4 linked regions of the Mus musculus genome follow. The protein of the gene in region 2 purifies or fractionates together with the protein of the main gene of each other region. This does not show direct contact. Links are inferred from orthologs where the notes say so. Each region holds a gene or a part of one and is shown on either strand. Other genes may lie near its edges. The genes, in order: Cnnm3, Ptp4a1, Cnnm1 and Cnnm4.

The links.
Region 1: the proteins of Ptp4a1 (region 2) and Cnnm3 purify together in Homo sapiens (affinity purification with mass spectrometry; 6 studies listed by BioGRID and IntAct, with this or other methods). This does not show direct contact. The link is inferred for Mus musculus from reciprocal best matches to the Homo sapiens genes PTP4A1 and CNNM3.
Region 3: the proteins of Ptp4a1 (region 2) and Cnnm1 purify together in Homo sapiens (affinity purification with mass spectrometry; 4 studies listed by BioGRID and IntAct, with this or other methods). This does not show direct contact. The link is inferred for Mus musculus from reciprocal best matches to the Homo sapiens genes PTP4A1 and CNNM1.
Region 4: the proteins of Ptp4a1 (region 2) and Cnnm4 purify together in Homo sapiens (affinity purification with mass spectrometry; 6 studies listed by BioGRID and IntAct, with this or other methods). This does not show direct contact. The link is inferred for Mus musculus from reciprocal best matches to the Homo sapiens genes PTP4A1 and CNNM4.

Annotation. Positions count from the first base shown.
Region 1 is NC_000067.6:36,509,905-36,515,778, forward strand, and holds the start of Cnnm3 (metal transporter CNNM3 isoform 1 precursor), read left to right. Parts: upstream 1-1,962; 5' UTR 1,963-2,006; coding exon 2,007-3,249; intron 3,250-5,874. UniProt on the Homo sapiens protein: Probable metal transporter.
Region 2 is NC_000067.6:30,942,027-30,947,234, reverse strand, and holds part of Ptp4a1 (protein tyrosine phosphatase type IVA 1), read left to right. Parts: intron 1-595; 5' UTR 596-1,092; coding exon 1,093-1,197; intron 1,198-2,204; coding exon 2,205-2,297; intron 2,298-2,568; coding exon 2,569-2,699; intron 2,700-3,228; coding exon 3,229-3,303; intron 3,304-3,911; coding exon 3,912-4,029; 3' UTR 4,030-5,208. UniProt on the Homo sapiens protein: Protein tyrosine phosphatase which stimulates progression from G1 into S phase during mitosis. May play a role in the development and maintenance of differentiating epithelial tissues.
Region 3 is NC_000085.6:43,491,488-43,495,868, reverse strand, and holds part of Cnnm1 (metal transporter CNNM1), read right to left. Parts: coding exon 4,265-4,381; intron 4,106-4,264; coding exon 3,956-4,105; intron 2,190-3,955; coding exon of another isoform or gene 2,160-2,189; coding exon 2,058-2,159; intron 911-2,057; coding exon 831-910; 3' UTR 1-830. UniProt on the Homo sapiens protein: Probable metal transporter.
Region 4 is NC_000067.6:36,468,963-36,474,994, forward strand, and holds the start of Cnnm4 (metal transporter CNNM4 precursor), read left to right. Parts: upstream 1-2,634; 5' UTR 2,635-2,730; coding exon 2,731-4,123; intron 4,124-6,032. UniProt on the Homo sapiens protein: Probable metal transporter. The interaction with the metal ion chaperone COX11 suggests that it may play a role in sensory neuron functions. May play a role in biomineralization and retinal function.

The sequences.
Region 1 (5,874 bases), about 5.6 Mb from region 2:
TCTGTTGTCCATCACAAGTGTGTTTGGTGCTGAACCCCTGCGACATACCAGCTGCTCTAGCTTTGTGGGGAAGAGATCATTGTCCCAGGCCTTCGCCCCTCCTGTCACTTCTCTCTGGGACCTTTCTTCCCAGACCTTATAAGGCTTGCCCCTCATATCAACCTCTGTTCAAATGTTCCCTCCTTGATTACCTACATCTCCGTTAGCATCATCTCCCCAATGTTTCCTCGTCCTCTCCTTATAACACTTCCAACCGGGTCTTAAAATGTTTCCTGGGATCCCAGCACTGGTTCTGAGCACCACGAGGGTGGAAGCTGTTGTCCCTGCCAGAGTTCCAGCCTTTGGGAAGTTACCTGTCCCGCACACACTCAGTGTAGGAAATGCTTGTCACACGAGCAAATGAAGAGCACATGGAGCTAAGATGCACAAGCTAGCCAGGGAGATCATACCTTGCCCCCATTTATGAGGTGTTTGCTTTGTTACATTTTTTTATTGTTATTTTAAAATTGATGTTTGGCCAGGCAGTAGTGGCACATGTCTTTAATCCCAGCACTTGGGAGGCAGAGGCAGGTGGATTTCTGAGTTCGAGGCCAGCCTGGTCTACAGAGTTCCAGGACAGCCAGGGCTACACAGAGAAACACTGTCTCAAAAAAAAAATTGATGTTTGTATGTGTATGTTTGCGTGTATGCACATATGCCATGTGGGACTGTTTCAGTTATGTCTACAGAATCCATTTTAGAAAAAAAATTCAAGAGGCTGGAGAGATGGACTCAGTGGTTAAGAGCACTTACCACTCTTGCAGAAGGCCTGGTTCCCAGAACCAACATGGTGGCTCACAAATGTCAACTCTAGTTCCAGGGGATGTAGTGCCCTCTTCTAGCCTCCTTCGGCACCTGCATACACAACACACATACATACACTTGGGCCCACACAGACACAAAACAAAACAAAACATATGTATAAGATGTGTACATGTCTTAGTACATTTAGGGAGAAAGTAGAGAGAAAAATGCAAAAAACAGGGATACCCATAGAGAAGCTAATCCCATAAAGACCACATACAATGAACGAAGAATGCTCCATCTGATCATGCAGGTGTCTTCCAAAATAAGGACAAAAAGAACCCTCTCAAACAGCTTTCTCAACCCGAGGAATCAGAATAAACTGTGGTTGTGAAGCTAGCATGTATGGAAATTCCTGACAGCTGCTATCTCCCTGCATGGCTGAATGACCCGAATGTCAGGTGCATGTCAGAAACCAAAGGCACACAGAATCAGTCTCTAAACATCGTTTTATTGTAAGCTTAATTACATGAAACAAGTGTGAAGATTCAAGGAAACAGATTTTTCTGGGTTTGAGTATTTACTATGGACCTTCCTATCAAGGCATCTTCCTCAAAAGCAGGTGTCTGTCTTGATATCCACAGAGCCCAACGCAAAGCTAAGAGACTTTAGCTTTAAAACAAACCAATAGAGCTGGGTGAGGTTAAGAATGTGTGCTGAGGACCAGAGTTCAGTTCCCAGCACAGCTTCCCATTAGCTTGGAACTCCAGCTCCAGGGGGAATTCGACGCCCTCTTGCGTCTGCCCAAAGCACTGCCCTCGCAAGCGCAAACCCACATACAAATACAAATGATAAGAAAATGTTTTAAACAAACGACTCCAGGTTTCCCTGTGCCCAGTCCCTGGTTCTTATTCAGCCCTTAGCCTTGCTGGCCAGAGGGTTAATGACCTTCCTTTGCTCGTCCACACGCGCCGGGAACTCCGAGGCCGTCCCAGACAGCCGCCCCGCGTCCTCCCTTGCCTGCGGAGCCCCACGCCCCTCCGGCTCGCCCCGCCCCGCGCCGCTTGTTTACTCCCCGGCGCAGCCTAGTTCTCCCCAGAGCCCGCCCCCGCCAGCCGCTTATTGGTCAAAGTGACGCGGAGGCCCGCGCCGATTGGCTGCAACAACAGAGGCGCGGGTGAGTGGGGTAGGCTGCGCCCGAGGCCCAGAAGGGGTAGCAGGCCATGGCGGCGGCTGCTGCGGCTGTGGTGGGTTGGTTGGGCTGGGTGCTTGCCGCGTTCTGTCTGGGCAGCACCGCAGGGGAGGCGGCGCCGGCGCCGGGCGCGGGACTGCTGAACTTCTGCACGGAAGAGGACAGCGCACCGGGCGCGGGCTCCCTGCGCGGAAGGGCAGCGCCAGAGGCCACTTTGTGCTTGCGACTCTTCTGCTCCGGCTTGGCCAACAGCTCCTGGACCTGGGTAGCCGCCGAGGGCGCAGGCTGCCCGGAGGGCGGACGGGCCACGGAGCCCGAGGAGGCGGCCGCCCCGACGGGCGAGTGGCGCGCGCTGCTGCGCCTGCGCGCCGAGGCCGGCCACCCGCGCTCCGCGCTGCTGGCGGTGCGCGTGGAGCCGGGTGGTGGGGCCGCGGAGGAGGCGGCGCCGCCCTGGGCGCTGGGGCTGGGGGCGGCCGGGCTGCTGGCCCTGGCGGCGGTGGCGCGCGGCCTGCAGCTGAGCGCGCTGGCGCTGGCGCCGGCCGAGGTGCAGGTGCTGCGCGAGAGCGGCTCGGAGGCGGAGCGCGCGGCGGCGCGGCGCCTGGAACCCGCGCGGCGCTGGGCCGGCTGCGCCCTGGGCGCGCTGCTGCTTCTGGCCAGCCTGGCGCAGGCGGCACTGGCCGTGCTGCTGTACGGGGCGGCGGGCCAGCGCGCCGTGCCCGCCGTGCTGGGTTGCGCGGGGCTGGTGTTCCTGGTGGGTGAGGTGCTGCCGGCCGCCGTGAGCGGACGCTGGGCGCTGGCGCTGGCGCCGCGCGCGTTGGGCCTCAGCCGCCTGGCGGTGCTGCTCACCTTGCCCGTGGCGCTGCCGGTCGGGCAGCTGCTGGAGCTGGCAGCGCGGCCGGGGCGTCTGCGGGAGCGCGTGCTGGAGCTGGCGCGCGGCGGCGGCGACCCCTACAGCGACCTCAGCAAGGGAGTGCTGCGCTCCCGGACCGTGGAGGACGTGCTCACGCCGCTCGAAGACTGCTTTATGCTGGACTCCGGCACTGTCCTAGACTTCAGCGTCCTCGCCAGCATCATGCAGAGCGGCCACACGCGCATCCCAGTGTACGAGGAGGAGCGCTCCAACATCGTGGACATGCTCTACCTCAAAGACTTGGCTATCGTTGAGCCCGAGGACTGCACACCGCTCAGCACCATCACCCGCTTCTACAACCATCCACTCCACTTTGTCTTCAACGATACCAAACTGGACGCTGTCCTGGAGGAGTTCAAGCGAGGTAAGGGGACGCCCCTGTTAGAAAGGCCCCAGAAAGTGATGGCCTTGTACCTGCGAATGACCTTTGGAAATATTTAAAGACCCACCTTTTAGAAGCGGAAGGAAGTGCTATGGGAGTCTGATGCGGGAGGATCGGAAGGTGGTTACCCTGTTTGTTAAATAGAAAATTTTAAAAAAGTTGGGGATGTAGCTCAGTGCTTGCCTAACATACATGAAGCCCTGACCATTACCCAGTACCACATAAACCCAAGCAGTGGCCTACCTACTTAGAAGGATGGAAGCCGGCCTGGACTAAAGATTCTGTCTCAAAAGTAAATGAATGAATAAAAAGATCCATTGGCAGGCAGCAAGCATGCCTACTTGGCTCTAATCCCAGAGGTTTCCTTCTCCTGGGCTGTATTGTGCACTTGGGCTTCCTAGTTGCCCCAGATTCTTGGATAGTAACTAAAATGATGTCAAGAGGGTTAGGTAACTGGAAACTGTTGTCTTTGCCTTTTTAGCATTAAATTAGCTGGACCTGTAATGGTTCCTGGCCCTTTCAGATTGTGGGATTAGAAAGGACTCATAATACTTACTGTGGGTACTGAGAGAACTTCCATTTTAATGTCATCGGAAGCAACTCATGAATAATGACTTAATTTTCCTTCCTGGCTTTTTTCTCCCTCTTAATTTTTTTTTTTTTTGAGATTTTTATTGTTATGTTTATGAGTGCCTGTGTTGTTCCTCATGCATGCAGTGCCTATGGAAGCCAGAAGAAGGCGCTAGGTTCCTTGAGACTGGAATTACAGCCAGCCACCCTGCTGGTCCTGGGAACTGAACCCTGCATCCTCTGGTGCTCTTGCTTCCTCTCTTTCATTTAAATTGTTTTTCAGTGCATGTCAGCTACCTGCTCTTCCCTAACCCCATCTCCATTCTCCCCTTTTTTACCTTAATGTCTCCTTTCATTCTTTTTGAGCAACCCCTATTTTTTTGTTTTGTTTGTTTGTTTTGTTTTGTTTGTTTGTTTGAAACAGTGTTTCTCTGTGTAGCCCTGGCTGTCCAGGACCTCACTCTGTAGACCAGGCTGGCCTCAAACTCAGAAATCTGCCTGCCTCTGCCTCCCGAGTGCTGGGATTAAAGGCGGCGCCACCACGGCCTGGCGATCAGCCCTTTTTTGTTTTTTAAGATGTACTTATTTTCTGTGTGTGAGTGTTTTGCCTGCATGTGTTTATGTACACGGTGTGTGTGTCTGGTGCCTGAGACAGTCAGAAGAGGGCTTCGGATCCCCCAGAACTGGAGTTACAAATGGTTGTGAGGCACCGTATGGGTGCTGGCAACAAAACCCAGGTCTTCTGCAAGAGCAAATACATGTGAACATCTAAAGTTGAAAGTAAAAACTATGAGCCGCTCCACATATTTAAATGTGGACCCCTAGGGGACAGGTGGCACATACATTCAGTCCCAGCACTTAGGAAAGCAGAAGCAGGCGGATGTCTGAGTGCACGAACACCCAGGGCTACACAGTCTTGAAACAAAAACAAGGTATAGGCTCCTCTATAACACTCCATGCTCCTCCTTGGGCTGCTTTGCAGAGCATGGGTGCTCCTGCGCACCAGACGTGCTTCCTTGGAGTGGAGGGTGGATGTGCACCAGGGCTCTGGCTGGATTGGGCTGCATGATAGGGTGTAGCAAATGGAGCAAGCCCCCCTGAAGTGGGTCTCAGGCCCCAGGGCCTGTCAGTGATTTCTTGGACAGCCACTGCAAGAGGCAGCTCTCTGATGTGATGAGCTCGCTGCTCTTGTATTGAACTCAGCGTGTGCCAGGCTCTTGACGGGCACCCTGCATTCCCAGTCTCCCTTGTCTGTGCAGGAGACCTGTATATAGATCATGAATAAGTGAACAGGAGGCTTAAGTGGGCAGCTCTGATTGTGTCTGGCCTCTCAGGTGTGTCCTGGCTTTATCCTAGATCTTGGTCTTGCAGACTCTTTCTAGGGAGTGAGTAGGTAGTATAGTGTCTGGGCTGTTGTCACTTCTCACAGAGTGGGAGCCAGCCCTGCCTACTTCGAGTTCCCAGGTCCTAGGAAGACTGCCACGGCTCTCTCGCTCTGTTAGTTTATCAAAGAAGAGAGAGAGAGACTGAGATCTGGTGTGCTTGTCAGTCTAGTGACTCCTTCCTGGGAGATGGTATTTGTTAGCGCCCAGCAAATTAGCCTTTTAAGGGTGACCCTGGACAGATAGGGTCCATCTCTTCCAGAATCATCATAAGCCTTCTGTTAGGAGAGGAGTATAAGGACCATCGCTGTCCCTTTGATGCTCCAAAGTCTCTTTAGGTTTCTCAGTCTCATGAAGGACAATGGTGTACGCTTTGCCAGAGCAAGTTCTGGTTGACCTGTATCAATAGGAAAGACATGTCCCAGCTGAGGACAGAGGCAGGAGGAGTGTGAGTTTGAAGCCAGGTGGGATCGGGGAGGGGGGTGAGCAGGGGAGGTATTCATCATAGTGTCCCATTCCTCTGCAGCTCAGGTTAGGGCGGTGGAAGGGCGAGGGGCATCCCTGTCTGGAGAGAGCTGAATTTAAGCTTTGGGTGTTAGTATTGGTGTGAAGGACAACACAGATGAGAGCTGTTTCTCACTGCAGACCCTTAGTT
Region 2 (5,208 bases):
CTACAAAATACAAAAAGGCAGGCCCCCAAATTTAAACTTTAGAGACTAAAATGTAAAGGGGTAATTGCATTAAAAGTGTTTTTGTTTTGTTTTGTTTTGTTTGGAAGAAAAGCCATACTCCTTACTTTGAACCCAGTAGCTTAATAACATAAAATATGAAATCAGAACTAGTGGGCAGTTGAAATCACTGTCTGTGAATTCTGCAAGCGTCAGACCACATGGCGTCTAGAGTAGTGTCTATGAACAGCAGGCTAAGGCAGTATAGAAGACACAATTCGGGCCAGAATAAAAGTGTAAAGAGAGACGGACTAATTAATTAAATCCATGTGTCTAGATGTGTAAGTGGAATTCCTATGTAGCTGTGACTCTGAGTTCTTGATTGTTGAGAGCTTCACTTTAATGGGCTTGTGATTGCTCATTTTAGGCCTATTGATTTAAAATGCAGTAACCTTGAATTTTGTAATGCAAGTAAAAGTCAAATTAGCTTGTCTCTAATTTGAGCAGCTGTGTACTTAGTGGAAAAAGCATGACATATTCCTTTTGAATTAGAAAATAACTTTTTTTCCCTTTCTTGCTTTCCTTTTCTTCTAAACAGCAGTTCTGTGGTGTTCTCGGTCACACATTTATGGAGTTTCTGAAGGGCAGTGGAGATTACTGCCAGGCACAGCACGACCTCTATGCAGACAAGTGAACTGTAGAAATTCATTACTACTCCACCAAGAAACCCCCATAAGAGTGGATAACCTGGACACAGGCGTGTTGAATTGAAATCTGCAGAGCATTTGACAAGAGCTCAGACCTGGATGGGGTAAACCTCAGTGCACTTCCTTTGTATTGCCTCAGTATTACTGGATTGAAGACTCACTGCTTCTTGTTAGGAGGTTCATTTCATTGCCCGTTTCTCCCAATTCATACTCAAGCACTGAGAATTTCAAGTGGAGTATATTGAATATTGAAGTAGACTTCAGGTTGTTTTTTGGTTTTGTTTTGGTTTTTTTTTTTTTTTTTTCTGTTTTGGTTTTAAATCATTTCTGTATTCAATTTTTTAATTCTTTCATAACCCTATTGGGTGTTTTTTTAAACTAAATTAACATGGCTCGAATGAACCGCCCTGCTCCTGTGGAAGTCACATACAAGAACATGCGATTTCTTATTACACACAATCCAACCAATGCGACCTTAAACAAATTTATAGAGGTAAGATACAATTTTTAATGTCCTAATTGATGACAGTTAATAGTGGGTCTGCTTGAAAGTGTCTAGCTCTCGCTCCCAGAGAAGAAATATTGGAACGGTAGAAGTGTGCTACACTTGAGAACTATGTAGCCCTAAGTTTGCTTAGTTAAATTTACAAGGCACAGAGTTTTTCCTATTTCTTCTTAGCCTAGTGTTGTAATCTTCCATTAGTTGGTGTCTGATTTTATTTGTGCTTTAAGTCTAGTTTTTAGCTGCTAATTCTGCTATTTTCTGATGGCAGATAATGAGGCCTCCCAACTTGCTTGTACTAGGAATTGGAATTTAATGCCAAATAATTTAATTGAGCTTACATTTATAAAGTATAAAAATCTACATATGCTTAGATAGCAAATAGAGAAATATTTAAATGTTACATAATTTTTTAAATTTTGAATTACAATGTTTCTAATGTCAGCAGGGTTGAGTTATAATTACTTAATGTGTCCTTAGGCCTTAAGTTTTTATGATGGCTTTTTAAAACTGAAATCGTGACATAACTCTCAGACTTAGGTCTGAGGAGGCTCAGTCAGTAAAGCAGTTCACTGCTCATGTAGAGAACCCTGCTGCTTCTTCAGAATCCATATTTAGAAAACCTTGAGCGGTTGTAGGTGGGGCAGGGACACCTTGGGCTCCGTGGCTTGCTAGCCTCGCCTTCTGGTAAGGTGCCAGACAGTGAGAGAGCATGAGGTGAAGAGCACCTGAGGTTAACCTGGTGCCGCTCCACCTGCACCCAAGTGCTCACAGCATTTTGCTTTTAGTGTGTGTTTTACCAGAATTCCTCCATCCACACCCCCCAACATAACACGTAGCATTTAGTAGCCCTCTTTACTCTTAATAATGTGAAACAAGCATATTAAACAGGTTTTGCCATTTGTTTACCAGCATGATCAAAAGAGGTGCAGATGGCACAGCAAGAATACGGTTCCAGAAACCTCATTAATGTTTTTAATATATGCATTGTTTCCTAGGAACTTAAGAAGTATGGAGTTACCACAATAGTAAGAGTATGTGAAGCAACTTACGACACTACTCTTGTGGAGAAAGAAGGCATTCATGTTCTTGTAAGTACTTGTGTTTTCATGTCTTCGTTACATACACTACAGAAGTTTATTCAAATCAGACCTCATAGCTTTTAAGTCAAGGCAAAATCCTACAGTAGTAACATGTGATTACATTTTTTGTCTGCTCTCAGTGTGAGAGTCTTCCTGCATTGCCCAGTTAGCCAGGAAAGTGCTGTGAATTCCGCAGGCTGCCTCCTCTCCTGGATTTGGGGATAAAGGGATGCGCAGTGCCTTGACAATTTAAAACTCTGAAACTTTTCTTTTGAATCAGGACTGGCCTTTTGATGATGGTGCACCACCATCCAACCAGATTGTCGATGACTGGCTAAGTCTTGTGAAGATTAAGTTTCGTGAAGAACCTGGTTGCTGTATTGCTGTCCATTGTGTCGCAGGCCTTGGCAGGTAAGGAAATCCCCTAGTCTCCATCTAGATTGGTGGACCTCACCCTTCCTAATGCCGCAGCCCTGTAATACATATGTAATCATGTTCTGATGACCTCCAACCAAAGCATTATTTTGTTGCTACTGTTCTGAATCATAAAGATCAGATATGGAGTCCACAGGTTGAGAATTGCTATTCTAGGTAAAGGTCCACATTGAAAGTATTAATGCTTATGACTTTTCTTTGGGGTGACTCTGACCCTCCTGCATGCAGGACAGGACTCATAACAAACACTATGCTATACTCTTTCCCAGTTGTCTTATTTCAGATAACTCACTGAGTTGTCTCAGCTGGTCTTGAAGTCACTCCCACCAGGCCTTGAAATGTACCCCTAATGTCTGAGCTTTCCAAGTAGCCGAGATCCTAAGCCTTGTAGCATCAAAACTAAGTCTGTCGTTGAACTGATTGATTATACTTTTTTAAGATCTGGGGTAGATGAACAATTAATTTTTCAGGGTTTAATTAGTGATCAAACTTTTTACATTACCAGAGCTCCGGTGCTTGTTGCCCTAGCATTAATTGAAGGTGGAATGAAATATGAAGATGCAGTACAATTCATAAGACAGTAAGTAACGCCGCCGTCCTCTTTCATGCCTGCATAATCTTATTAAATATCTAAACTAAGTAAAATCCAAGCCATGTACCAATTAACTGTTGGTTTCCACCTATGTACTTTGTCTGCATATGTTGTGTGCCTGTGGTGGCCTTTAGAGGCCAGAAGAGGGCATTGAATACCATGGGAGTCAAGTTATGGGTGGCTGTGGGCCACCATGTTGGTGTTGGGAACTTAAACTAGGTCCTTTGGTTGAAGCAGCAAGTGCTCTTAACTATCCCCCCAATTGATATCTTTAAGAAAACTGTACTAAGGCGGGGGAAGGGGGCTTTTTTGTATTCGTGCAGATAATTGTTGGAATTTTTTTTTTCTGCTTTTTGACCAGTGTGGTTGTTAATCTACATTTTGCTGAGATACATATAGCTGGGGGGAGGAGGTTGTTTTGACCTAGACTCAATCATTTATAGGATAAAAGTTAAATCAAACCACTTAGCATAACATTTAGAAATCTCAAGTGTTCTAGGTGGGCCCTTTGGTCTTCATTTCCTTACTACCAGAAATAGCATCCTTCTAACTTCTGTCATGATCAAAAAGTCCTTTGTCTTTTTCCTTCCTTCCAGAAAGCGGCGTGGAGCTTTTAACAGCAAGCAACTTTTGTATCTGGAGAAGTACCGTCCGAAAATGCGGCTCCGCTTCAAGGATTCCAATGGTCATAGAAACAACTGTTGTATTCAATAAAACTGGGGTGCCTGATGCCATTGCCTTGGAAGTGGAACTTCAGATGGGACCTGATTTGTCATGCATATTACCCAATGTGTCGGCTTACTGAATAAGTCTACTGCAGCTCCACAGGAATACTGAAAAACCAGTCTTACCAGGCCACAAGTTTGACAGAATTGCAACCTCTATATTTGGGCTATGATCAACATGTTTGGACACTTAGCAAAAGATTTTTGCTGGTCAGCATTTAAAATGTGCTTATTATTTGTACCAATTGACCTTTCCTAAAATAAGGTATTGAGTTATGTCATTAAATGTACTCCTGTGCCAGAATATTATTAGTCTATAAGGAATTTAGAAGGATTAGGTGCCAAAATACCCAGCACAATACTTGTATATTTTTAGCATCATACAGAACCAAAATTGCAGGAACTGAGAACTCTAGACCATCCATGGTGTATTCCTTCAGTCATTTCAAACACTGCAGGGCTTCTCTCGTTATCTGCCTGCTCACTCTGTTTACATCTCCCACACTTATGCCAGAATACGTCAGGTTTGCTTAGCCATCCTTTATTTTTTTTATTTTTTTTTTTAACTAAGTCTTGCGCTGATTATTTAATATGTCTGTCTCATTTTGTTTTGTTTTGGGAAACCTCTGTTTGAAAATCAACTTTGTTACAGAAGCACATATCTTCAACAATGTCTCCAGACAAAAAGCCTTATAGTTAATTTAATGTTTGCACTCAGAAGTGCAACCTAACAGGGAGGGCCTGAAAAAGAAACGAGAGGAGGCTATTAAATATTTTTAGTAATATGTTGCCTTTGTCATGTGCAGAACATGTAGAGTATGCTCTTTAATTTAGTAAATATTTTTAAGACATAGAGATACATTGTTGTAGCTAACCAATTCTTAATCAAAATTTCTGAAATTTTTGTGTTTTCCATACCTATCAGAAGTTTTCCAGCTTGTTTGAATTATGGCTTTCCTCTTCCCAATCTCTTGCAAAAAAGACAAAGTGGGATGGATCTGCTAGTGAACTGAGCAGAAATGTTTTATACGCCTTTTGAGCTATGTAACTTAATAATTGGATACTTGATCATTTGTTTTATTATGTAATCGATAAAATGGTGATGTGTATTAAAGTTAGTTCAACCATATATTTATACTGTCTGGGAATGTGTGGTTATAGTTCTGTG
Region 3 (4,381 bases), on a different chromosome or scaffold from region 2:
GAAGTCCCGTGACAGCACGGCACATCCGTCCTGGCCGACCTGGGCACTCTTTGGTTTATCATGGCTACACAAATTTTAACAACTTACAATTTTTCATGTAAGTTGTTTTTTTTTTTTTTTCCTGCTTTTATTTTCACTTAAAACCTGAAGTTCTGTATCTGGCTCACAACTTGGTCTCTGTGTCCCCTGAACCTCCTCTTCTGAAGCAAGCTTATAGACTCGGGAAGCCCAAACTGACGTCTCTGGGAGATACAGGGACTCAGGGCTTCCTCTCTCTTTCTTCACTGCAGCCGAACTGCCCTTCCCCAGGCTGTGGGGAGAATCCACACACTAACAGGGAACAATCCTTGTCCATCTGTCCATCCCTGGAGCTGATTTTCACACCGGCTCCTCTAGACTCCAGTACACCTCTCTGCCCGCATCACTGTCTGAGCGAATGCTAAGCATGAACTATGGTAGAAAGCATTATTTTGTCCTGGAAGAAAGAATGGTGAATTCCAGGACATGGGTCTCCTGTGGCCCAGGGACACCAAAGAACAAAGATTATTATTGGGAGCCTCAGAATGGCATTCTCAGCTTTGCGTCGGCCCTGGCCAGTTCTTAGACTATGCTACAGACAAAACCATTTCTAGCGTCTTCCATTACAGGCGTCTCCTTCTGTGTCAGACTGGAGGCAACTGATAAAACGTGCCAGACTGACTGAGGGGTGAAGGGTGAAGGGCCGAATGTTCTGTCACTGATGGGAGGCCTTGGGGGTGGCGAGTGACGGGAGGGTGGGTCTTCCCCCAAAGCCTCAGAGTCTCACACTCAGCCAATGAGGGAAGACCTGGTCATGTGATCAGGGGCGTTAAATTGGAGTTTTCCTCGGAGGCTCGCTCCCCGTCTGCGGACTTCTTTCTTTTCCGGCCACCTGAAAAACAGGTTGTCAGCATCCATGGGGGGATGGGGGGGGGGGACGGGGGACGTTCACGCACTGTCAGCAGCCTGAGGACTCTTCTGTCCTCACAGACGCAGGAGGGGAGACATAGCCCTGCCTTGGAACTCATGCAATGGAACCATGGTGCGGATGTCTGCACCTTTACACCTTGAAGCACTTTCCCAAAAGAGGAGCATTTCTGAAAAGGCTCAGTCCCCCTGGCACTAGCGTATAGTAGAGGGTGCACAGAAGGGATTGAGGTAGTCCCCCAAAAGCCATCTCTCTTTTCCCTGGAAGGCCCCAGCTCAACTGACTGCCAGACACCACACAGTACTAGTCTCCCAGTCTTTCGTGTCCCATGGGCCACAGCTGGGTTCAGGACTTCCCCAGGGCCCTGGTTCAGGGCATCTCCCGCCTACCCTGGGCCAGGTGATGCTGATTGGATAATGCCCTCGAAGGCGGACTTTGGGGGTTTTCAGGAGCATTTTCATCCTGCTTTCTCAGCTGTTGACCTCTGTCTCAGGAGGAGGATGCTCTCCTTCCCCTCCTTAAAGAATATTTATTTCATGTGTGCGCATTTGCACATGTGTGTATGGATGTGTGTTGTCGTGTGGGTGCCACGGTGTCATTCTCTCCTCTCACCACGTGGGTCCTGGGCTCGAACTCAGGCCCTCAGGCCCGGCAGCAAGCACCCTCACCCACAGAGACATGGTCCAGCCCTTTGCTTTCCTTTCTTGGAGTCTCCTGGACACAGTTTTTTTCCCAAAGGACTATACAGTAAATATTATAGGTTTTACAGGCTCTAAGGTCTCTGTCACAATCGTTCAGTCTTACCACTGTGACTACATATGACAAACGGACCTATGGTCCAAAGGTCCCTACTATAAAAAAATCACATGACTAGTCAGAATTTGACTTTAAGACATGTCTGTAAGACTCCTGTCCTAGGAGATCACCAGTGCGATGGGACAGATTTGAGCAGTATCACAGGTGTGGCGCTGGCTCAGGCCCTGCTGTGGATTTCCAGAGCTGTGGTAAGAGTATGCAAGCCTCACCCCACCCCCTCCCCCCGGGAGGACAGGCCTCACTTGCTTTCCCAACTACTTGGTGAGGAGCTTTGGTCTGGGAGAGGGATACTCACTCAAGGTTCTCAGCAGCTTCTTGCCCATGTTTTCCTCAGAGTCGCTGCTGCAGGGGCTGGCCTCTGGATCCAGGTGGATATTACAGCATTCAGGATCCGAAGCTGAAGGGAGAGCAGACTCAGGTCTCCAACCTAAATGTCATCAGGGAGGTTCTGAGGGATGCCTTTCTGAGAGTGACAGACAGGGTCCAGGGGTGGGACCTCTCTGTGAGAGACAGGGTAAAAGGGTGGGACCTCTCTGTGAGTGACAGGGTAAAAGGGTGGGACCTCTCTGTGAGTGACAGGGTAAAAGGGTGGGACTCTCTGTGAGTGACAAGGTGAAAGGGTGGGGCCTCTCTGTGAGTGACAAGGTGAAAGGGTGGGGCCTCTCTGTGAGTGACAGGGTAAAAGGGTGGGACCTCTCTGTGAGTGACAGGGTAAAAGGGTGGGACCTCTCTGTGAGTGACAGTGTGAGAGAGAGAGAGAGACAGACAGACAGAGACAGAGACAGAGACAGGTAGACAGACTCCTGAAAGGTGTTGTTTATTAGTTGGCAAGTGACATTTTACTGCCACAAAGGGAACAGACAACAGGACCTGTAACCCAACAGTCTACTCAAAAGTCAGAATAATGACACCTCTGCAGATACCCTCTGGCAGGAGAGGGAGGAAGATCCTAAGTGTCCCTACTTAGTGTCTGTGCCAGACATTGAGCACTGTCATAACAGGGTGCACACCTGTGTCGTCTTAGAATCTTAGAGCCCAGAAAGGATTCAAGCCTCCCACCAACTGAGCTCTGACCCAGGGAGGCAGGGTGTGTGTTGGAAACTGACCTGCACCAGCAGCCCTGACGTGGAGGCCGCATCTACCATGGTCTTTGGGTGTGCGGGTGAGCCATTTCCCAAATCCTGGGAATTCTATGCCCCAGTCTTCCGGGTTCCACACGTTTCCTCTCTGATCTTACTACCTTAGGAGTCTTTCCACTTCTTTGCTTTGTATACTTGGTGTGGAAGAGGCCAGACCTGAAATACCGGGTTGAGGAACTTCTGGCCTGGTAGGTAGGTATATAGAGTGTCAAACACTTGGGAGTCTCACTGCTATTGGGACACAGGGAGTTTTGAGCAACTCTGCTGTCAAGACAGAAGTGCACTGTGTCTCATGTGAAGTGACCTGAGAATGCAGGGGTACTCCCTGACACCCCCCGAGACTGTGGCCTGCACTGTGGCCCAGAGGAAGGGGAAGGCCCTACCAGTGGGGTTAAGGGCTGATGTCAGTCTTCTTATTGTGGGGTAGTTCTAATATTTATGGAGCGGGATACTATACACTGATGTGCCCGATATAGACGCTATGCCACTTGAAACTGCCTTGTGAGATAACTACATCATCTATACTTATTCACTTACTCAAGGAAACTTACCTACTAAGGAAACTGAACCTTAGGCTGTGGTACTGTGGTGTACTGTGGTGGTACACTGTGGTGGTCCATGCCTGTAACCTGCCCAGGGAAGGCGGGCGCAGGAGGCTTGGAAGCTCAAGGTGGTTCTCTGTACAAAGTAAGCTTGTGGCCAGCCCAGATTACAAGATACCTTATCTTAAAAAAACAAAAACAAAACAAAAAAATCCTGAACTGGAGGGTTAGGGTCTGAATCCAGGCAGAAAATGCTCCTATCATTGCCCAAGTTTTCCTGGAAAGATGAATTGGATGGGCCCAATACATGATAGGTGCTTGGTAAATGCTGACCCTGCCCTCTTTTGTGTGTGTGTGTGTGTTTGTGTGTGTATGAGAGAGACAGAGAGAGAGAGACAGAGAGAGAGACAGACAGACAAAGATAGACAGACAGGAGCTGGAGACCCAGGGCTTCCCCAAGCCCTGTTTGCCAGAGTGATGATCTCCCTTTCTGCTCTGGACCCAGCCCTGACCTGCTGTTGTAGGAACTGCGACAGGGGACAGCGAGACTTGCTGTGACCTGTGCTCCTCAAAGTTGGGCATCTCTTCTTGGGGGAAGGCCATCTCCTCCATCCTCAGGTACACAACCTCGCCTGGGCTTCTCAGACCATCCGAGCGGCTGCCTATGGAGGACAGTGAGTAGGTTACCTCTGTGCCTGGGAGGAGACCTTGGGCTCTGTGAGGCACAAAATGCCTGCTAGGCAGAAGTGGAGGAGAAATGTAGAGCTGGTTTGGTTTTTTAAATCACAGAACAGCCCAACTCATCCACCAGACTGACTCACATGGCAAGCTGGTCCTGTTGCTCAGGAGGGTGAGGACCGGGTCGTCCTTTGGAGTCTGGGGTGTGCCCCGGGTGGTGGGGGCCTTGGTGGAGTCCCCATCAGTGAAGGCTTCCATAT
Region 4 (6,032 bases), about 5.5 Mb from region 2:
AATATTACTTAATGAGAAAGTATGGCAGATAGATACCCTACCTAGAGGGGCAGGATGACAACCACAGCCCCTGAGCCACAAGTCTGACGTCCTCCAATACCTCTTACATTACCATTACCACTGTTTATTAACTATTGTTTACCTATGTGTATGAAGGTTTTGTCCGCATGTGTTTATGCATAGCATGTGTGTATGCATAGCATGTGTGTATGCATAGCATGTGTGTATCCGGTTCCCTCAGAGGACAGAAGGTATTGGATCCTCTGGAACTGGAGTTACAGACTGTTATAAGTCACCATGTGGGTGCTGAAAACTGAGCTTGTCTCCTGTGGGTCTCCTGCAAGAGCAACAGATGCTCTTAACCACTGAGCCATCTCTCCAGCCCTGAATTTCACTTACTTCAAGGAGTCTATTCTTATTCTCCTTTGGGAATCCAACTGTGAGTTAACTTGACTTTAACAGACCCCGTTTCTGTTCCTATCTAGCAACCATTGTTCTGTCTTGCTTTTCTCTCCCTGCTCCTTCCCTTCGACTTCCAAGCCAAGTGGCTCAAACACTTATTTTTCTTTCCTTTGTTGGCTTCTGTCGCTTAGATTGAGTGCCTACCTATAGAGCACGAGTAAATACAGACCCGAAAAGGGCAAAATGAAAATAGCCTCTGGAATGATGATGAGGCCTGATAGGCGCTTCCAGGGACCTGGGGTTGCTGTCAAACAATCCGGGCGGCTCTTCTGGGTTGTCAAAGACAGGGAGGGGGCAATTGCCCAACTCCTGAGGGTACTGTTCACTAAAAAGCTGGTCTTCTGGCCTCACTCTGTGTGTGTGTGTGTGTGTGTGTGTGTGTGTGTGTGTGTGTGTGTAAGGTGAGGCACCTCCTCACAAGGAACTTCCTCCAGCTGGCTGTTTACAGAACCCACCAGCACAATGCCAGAGCATTAAGTCAGCCTCTGCTACCCAGCCTCCCCCACAACACTGCATGAGTGTTCCATTATGTTTGGATTTTTGCTGCTGGTATTGATTGTTGCCTTAATTGGCAGGCTGTGTACCAAAGTAAAAATAAACACAGGGGTTTGTACAGAGACATAGAGAAGGACTGTGTCTCTAGGGCCAGGAGAAGCCCTGCTGGGAGACCCAGGGGTCAACCCAGGCCTTGTGCTTAGTATAGCTCTTGCAACTGAGGTAAGGATGTTTGTCATCCGTGTCCTGCCCTTCACAGGGTGGACAGCTGTGGGTGGATAGCTGTGGTCATCCCCACACACTGAGTTCATAGCTGCCGGATGACATCCAAGTGGGGCTGACCAGGAAGCAGTGATCTCAAGGCTAGAACAGCAGCCCCACCCCTCAGTTCATTTCCACAAGCAGCTGCCTCAGCTGGCCAGTCACCACAATTTGGGGTTAAGGGTATGGTCCTGAAAGAGCAGGCAGCAACAACTATTACTACACAGGCAAAGACTATTCACAGAGAGTTGTTATGTCATATTCGGTGTGTAAGCCAGTTGTTCTCACGTGCTTAGCCAGGTGATGCTGTGTTATCACTCTTCCTGCCGTCAAATTAAAAACTAAAACCATAACTAAACAATAAAATCAATCCAGGCATGGTGGTGCATATCTGTAAACCCTGCACTTGGGAGGTAATGGACATAGGATCGGGAGTTCAAGGTCAGCCTCAGATTTGAAGAGTTCAAAGCCATATCGGGCTATGTAAGACCTTGTCTCAAAAAAAAAAAAAAAAAAAAACAAACAAAAAACAAAAAACAAAAACAAAACAAAAAAAAAAAAACCAGTCATTCTTACCGCCATTTACAGACAGGGACTAGGATTAACGGTGAAGATCTGAAAGGCCTAGGATTTTGTGCCTAGGTTCAAAATTTGCATCTGTAAGAAGTAAAACACTTAGTGTTCCTGTGTGTGTTTACTTGCTTATTGCGCTCCCCCTCCTGCCCCCGTATGGCTTGTCTTGTTTACTGCCATTTTTCTGATGATAGGCTGTAAACTAAAGATGTGCAAGAATTTTGGCTTGTTCATTGCCGTATCGTTAGAGTATGAAACAAGAGTACATGTTCAATGAAAACTCATCCCTAAATAGAAATGACAGGTGAAAAACCTAGGTCAGAGCCTGGTCCCTCAGCACCTTAGGGGTCTAGACAGAACCGAGGAGTGGGCTGGGGGACTTCGGGGGCAGTGACAACCTATTTCTGGCATTGGGTCAAGGTCAACGAAAATCCCAGAAGTAAGGAGGCTGTAACGCCAGCCTGAACCCTCAGGTTCCCTTTTCTTTTTCTAAACCAGGAAATGCATTTTTCTCGCTGTGCCCGCGGAGAAGCACCACCCGCCCCAGAACGGAGCGACAGAGTGCAGGGGACCCGGAAGCAACCGAGCGCGTGGGGCTTGGGAGCCGGGCTCCCTAAGGAGGAGCGCGGGAGAAGCCCGGTGCCGCGCGGAAGCTTGGCTGGGCGCACCCCCGCTGCGGGCTCCCGCGCTCGCCCCGCGCCGTTCTACCTTAAGGGCGCAGACCTCCTTAAGCCGGGCGCGCGAGCCGTGGGTAGGGGCGGGACATCGCATGCAAATAAGGGGCGTGGGGCGGCGGGGCGGGGCGGGCGGGGCGCGGTCTGACGTCAGGTCCTCGGCTGGGGCAGTTGGCGCGGCGGCAGCGGAGCGGCAGGAGGGCAGGAGCGGAGGCGCCGAGTGAGGCGCGCGGCGGGGCGCGGGCAGCGGCGGGGCCGGAGCAACATGGCGCCGGGGGGCGGGGGCGGGCGGCGGGACGGCTGGCCGGCCCGAGGGCGCCTCCTCCTGGCTGCGCTGCTGCTGCTATGGACGCGGGCGGCCAGCGGCCAGAGCAGCCCCCAGCAGAGCGTGATCCTAGGCATGAGGCTAGCGAGCTGCAACAAGTCGTGCGGGATGAACCCGGATGGCATCATCTTCGTGTCCGAGGGCAGCACGGTGAACTTGAGGCTCTATGGCCACAGCCTGGGCGATATCTCCAGCAACCTGATCTCCTTCACCGAGGTGGACGACGCCGAGGCGGTCCACAACTCCACCAACTGCCTGGAGCTCACCAAGGACTTAGTGGTCCAGCGGCTGGTCAACGTGAGCCGCGGGAACACGTCGGGGATGCTAGTGGTGATTACCAAGTTCCTGCGGAGGAGCGAGAACATGAAGCTGTACGCGCTGTGCACCCGGCCCCGGGCCGACGGGCCCTGGACCAGATGGACGGACAAGGACTCCCTGCTCTTCATGGTGGAGGAGCATGGGAGGTTTCTGCCGCTCTGGCTGCACATCCTTCTCGTTATGGTGCTGTTGGTGCTGTCGGGCATCTTTTCTGGCCTCAACCTGGGGCTTATGGCCCTGGACCCGATGGAGCTGCGCATCGTGCAGAACTGTGGAACTGAGAAGGAGAGAAAGTATGCTCGCAAGATAGAGCCCATCAGGCGCAAGGGCAACTACCTGCTCTGCTCGCTGCTCCTGGGGAACGTGCTAGTCAACACCTCCCTCACCATCCTTCTAGACAACCTCATCGGGTCTGGCATCATGGCAGTGGCCTCCTCTACCATTGGCATTGTCATCTTTGGGGAGATCTTACCTCAAGCCCTGTGCTCCCGGCACGGGCTGGCTGTGGGTGCCAACACTATTGTTCTCACCAAAGTCTTTATGCTCCTCACTTTTCCCTTGAGTTTCCCCATTAGCAAACTCCTGGACTTCGTCTTAGGTCAGGAGATTCGCACTGTTTACAATCGGGAGAAGCTGATGGAGATGTTGAAGGTGACAGAGCCCTATAATGACTTGGTGAAGGAGGAGTTAAATATGATCCAGGGTGCCCTGGAACTAAGGACCAAAACTGTGGAGGATATCATGACCCAGCTACACGACTGCTTCATGATCCGCAGTGATGCCATTCTGGACTTCAACACCATGTCGGAGATTATGGAGAGTGGCTACACTCGCATTCCTGTGTTTGAAGATGAGCAATCCAATATTGTAGATATCCTGTATGTCAAAGACTTGGCTTTTGTTGACCCGGATGACTGCACCCCGCTCAAGACCATCACTCGCTTCTACAACCACCCGGTACATTTTGTTTTTCATGACACCAAGCTGGATGCCATGCTAGAGGAATTTAAGAAGGGTAAGGACTGGTGTAGCTCCTGGTTAAATGTCCTTTTGATACCTCTCGTTCCCCTGAAGCATCCCCTGCATGCTCTCTGTCTGCAGGTTTTACTCTTCTGTTTGTGCGATTTATTCTGGGTCCCCCTGTCCATGGCTTCCTATGCTTCTGGTGTGAACGTTATCAGGCGCAGCAGAAGCGGTTCTCAAGCCTTTGCCTTCTGCCAGGCACTGTGTTCTGTGCTTAGTTGAATCAAAGCTGAAGGAGATACACTTGTCTGGAGCTGGTGAAGGGAGACAGGGTAAGGCTCATTCATGCCTGAAATGAGGCAGCCACCAGGCCTCCTGGGTGGGTGGGGAAGTAGCCAGGGAGCTGAGGATGTTGTCACAGGGGAAGGCACATTTGAGGGGAATCTTAAAAGATGAAGTGACTTGGGCCTGGGTCACACCCCTCTTGTGAGGAAGCCAAGGATTCGCTTGTGGTTCAGCAGGTGGTTCTGTCTAGTGGACCTTCTGGCTCTGCTGGTCCATGGCCATCAGGGGACGGGTTGGAGTTTTGCACACTTTTCCCCCCCGAGTTTGTTCCAGGTTTGGAACTGTGTGTCCTCACCAGGGTAGAACCGTCAGTCACCCTCCAGCCCACAAGCAAAACTGGGAGGTCTCTCCTCGGCTCCCAACTCAGAACAGTGCCAACGTGCAGTTCCCGCTGCTTAGCAGAAGCGTGGAGAGCAAGCTTTGGTTATTGTTCCATCTTTCCCAAGAGCCAAACATAAACCTGCCCCCAACTCCCAGTCTTCAGGGGCCCTTGCTCTGTGTGTGCTCTCTCGTGTGTGCTTGGCTAGCTCCCAGGTAGGTAGGCACTTAAGAGGGTTTACTCCCCAGCCTCCAAGCTCAGACAGGGCACACACCCTTTGCCTTATTCCCAACAAAGACTTCTTCCCTCTTCTACTCTGAAACCCTCAAAAGTAGCTGTGAAACAAGGTTATCAAGTGAAACCCTCCTAGGCTGAAGGAGGTGAGGAGGAAGAAAGGGCGACTCTTTAGAGAAGACCCCGAAGCTCGTTCTGTAGGGACCTTGCTTCATAATCCTAGACCCAACCATCCTCCTGTATGTAGAGCTGTCTCTGGCAAAGGCTCAAGCTGGGAACCACTAGTTGTGGATAAGTCCGGGGTCATTTCTGAAACTGGAAGGTGGTGGACAGTCTTGAAATGGGATCAGGAGAGAAGAGATGGCCTTACCAGAAGGTGCACTTGGGTCTGGGTCAAGGCCAAGGAGGCAGGTTGGTGCTCTCCCTTTGAAGTTTTCTACACAGATCTCAGCATCAGAGCAGCTGAGGGCATCTTGAGGACTGTAAACCAGGACAGAGATAGTCTGGGTGGCATGGAAGGAGATTTAGTGGTATAGACCCAGGAACCTGTTTTGCTCGGAGTCTGAGTAGAAACATTGGGGACTGTGTTTCGACTCCCATCTTGCAACTGGGGAACCTGAAAATTTCTCTGCAGTGGCTTCATTTGGAACCTGGTGAGGACTCCCATGACAGCTTCTTTCTTACCTGCCTCTGTGGTCTGAGGTGGTTTTCTGGTGACAGATATACCCACCAGTACCTCCCCATCAGTTTGGTTAGATCTGGATCCAACTAGTATGAATTGGCTTAACTTGGTGTCCAGCTCTTGATCAGCAGGGATGACCTCTGTTCTGTGGGAGAGTGCAGGGTCTGGGTTTTGGACTCTACTCTGTCCTGTGAAGAAGTGTCCTTCACTGAGCTGGAAAAGCAGAGCTGGCATCTCTTAGGCCAGAGTTGTTCTGGGCTGAGCCCTACCCCCACAGTTTGGTCCACCAGACTTTCCTTGACAGAGGCTTGTGGCCCGAGTCCAGGCCTTAGAGTGTGGAGCCCAAGCAGTTCACGGAAAAGCAGGAGCAGTCTGTCCTGG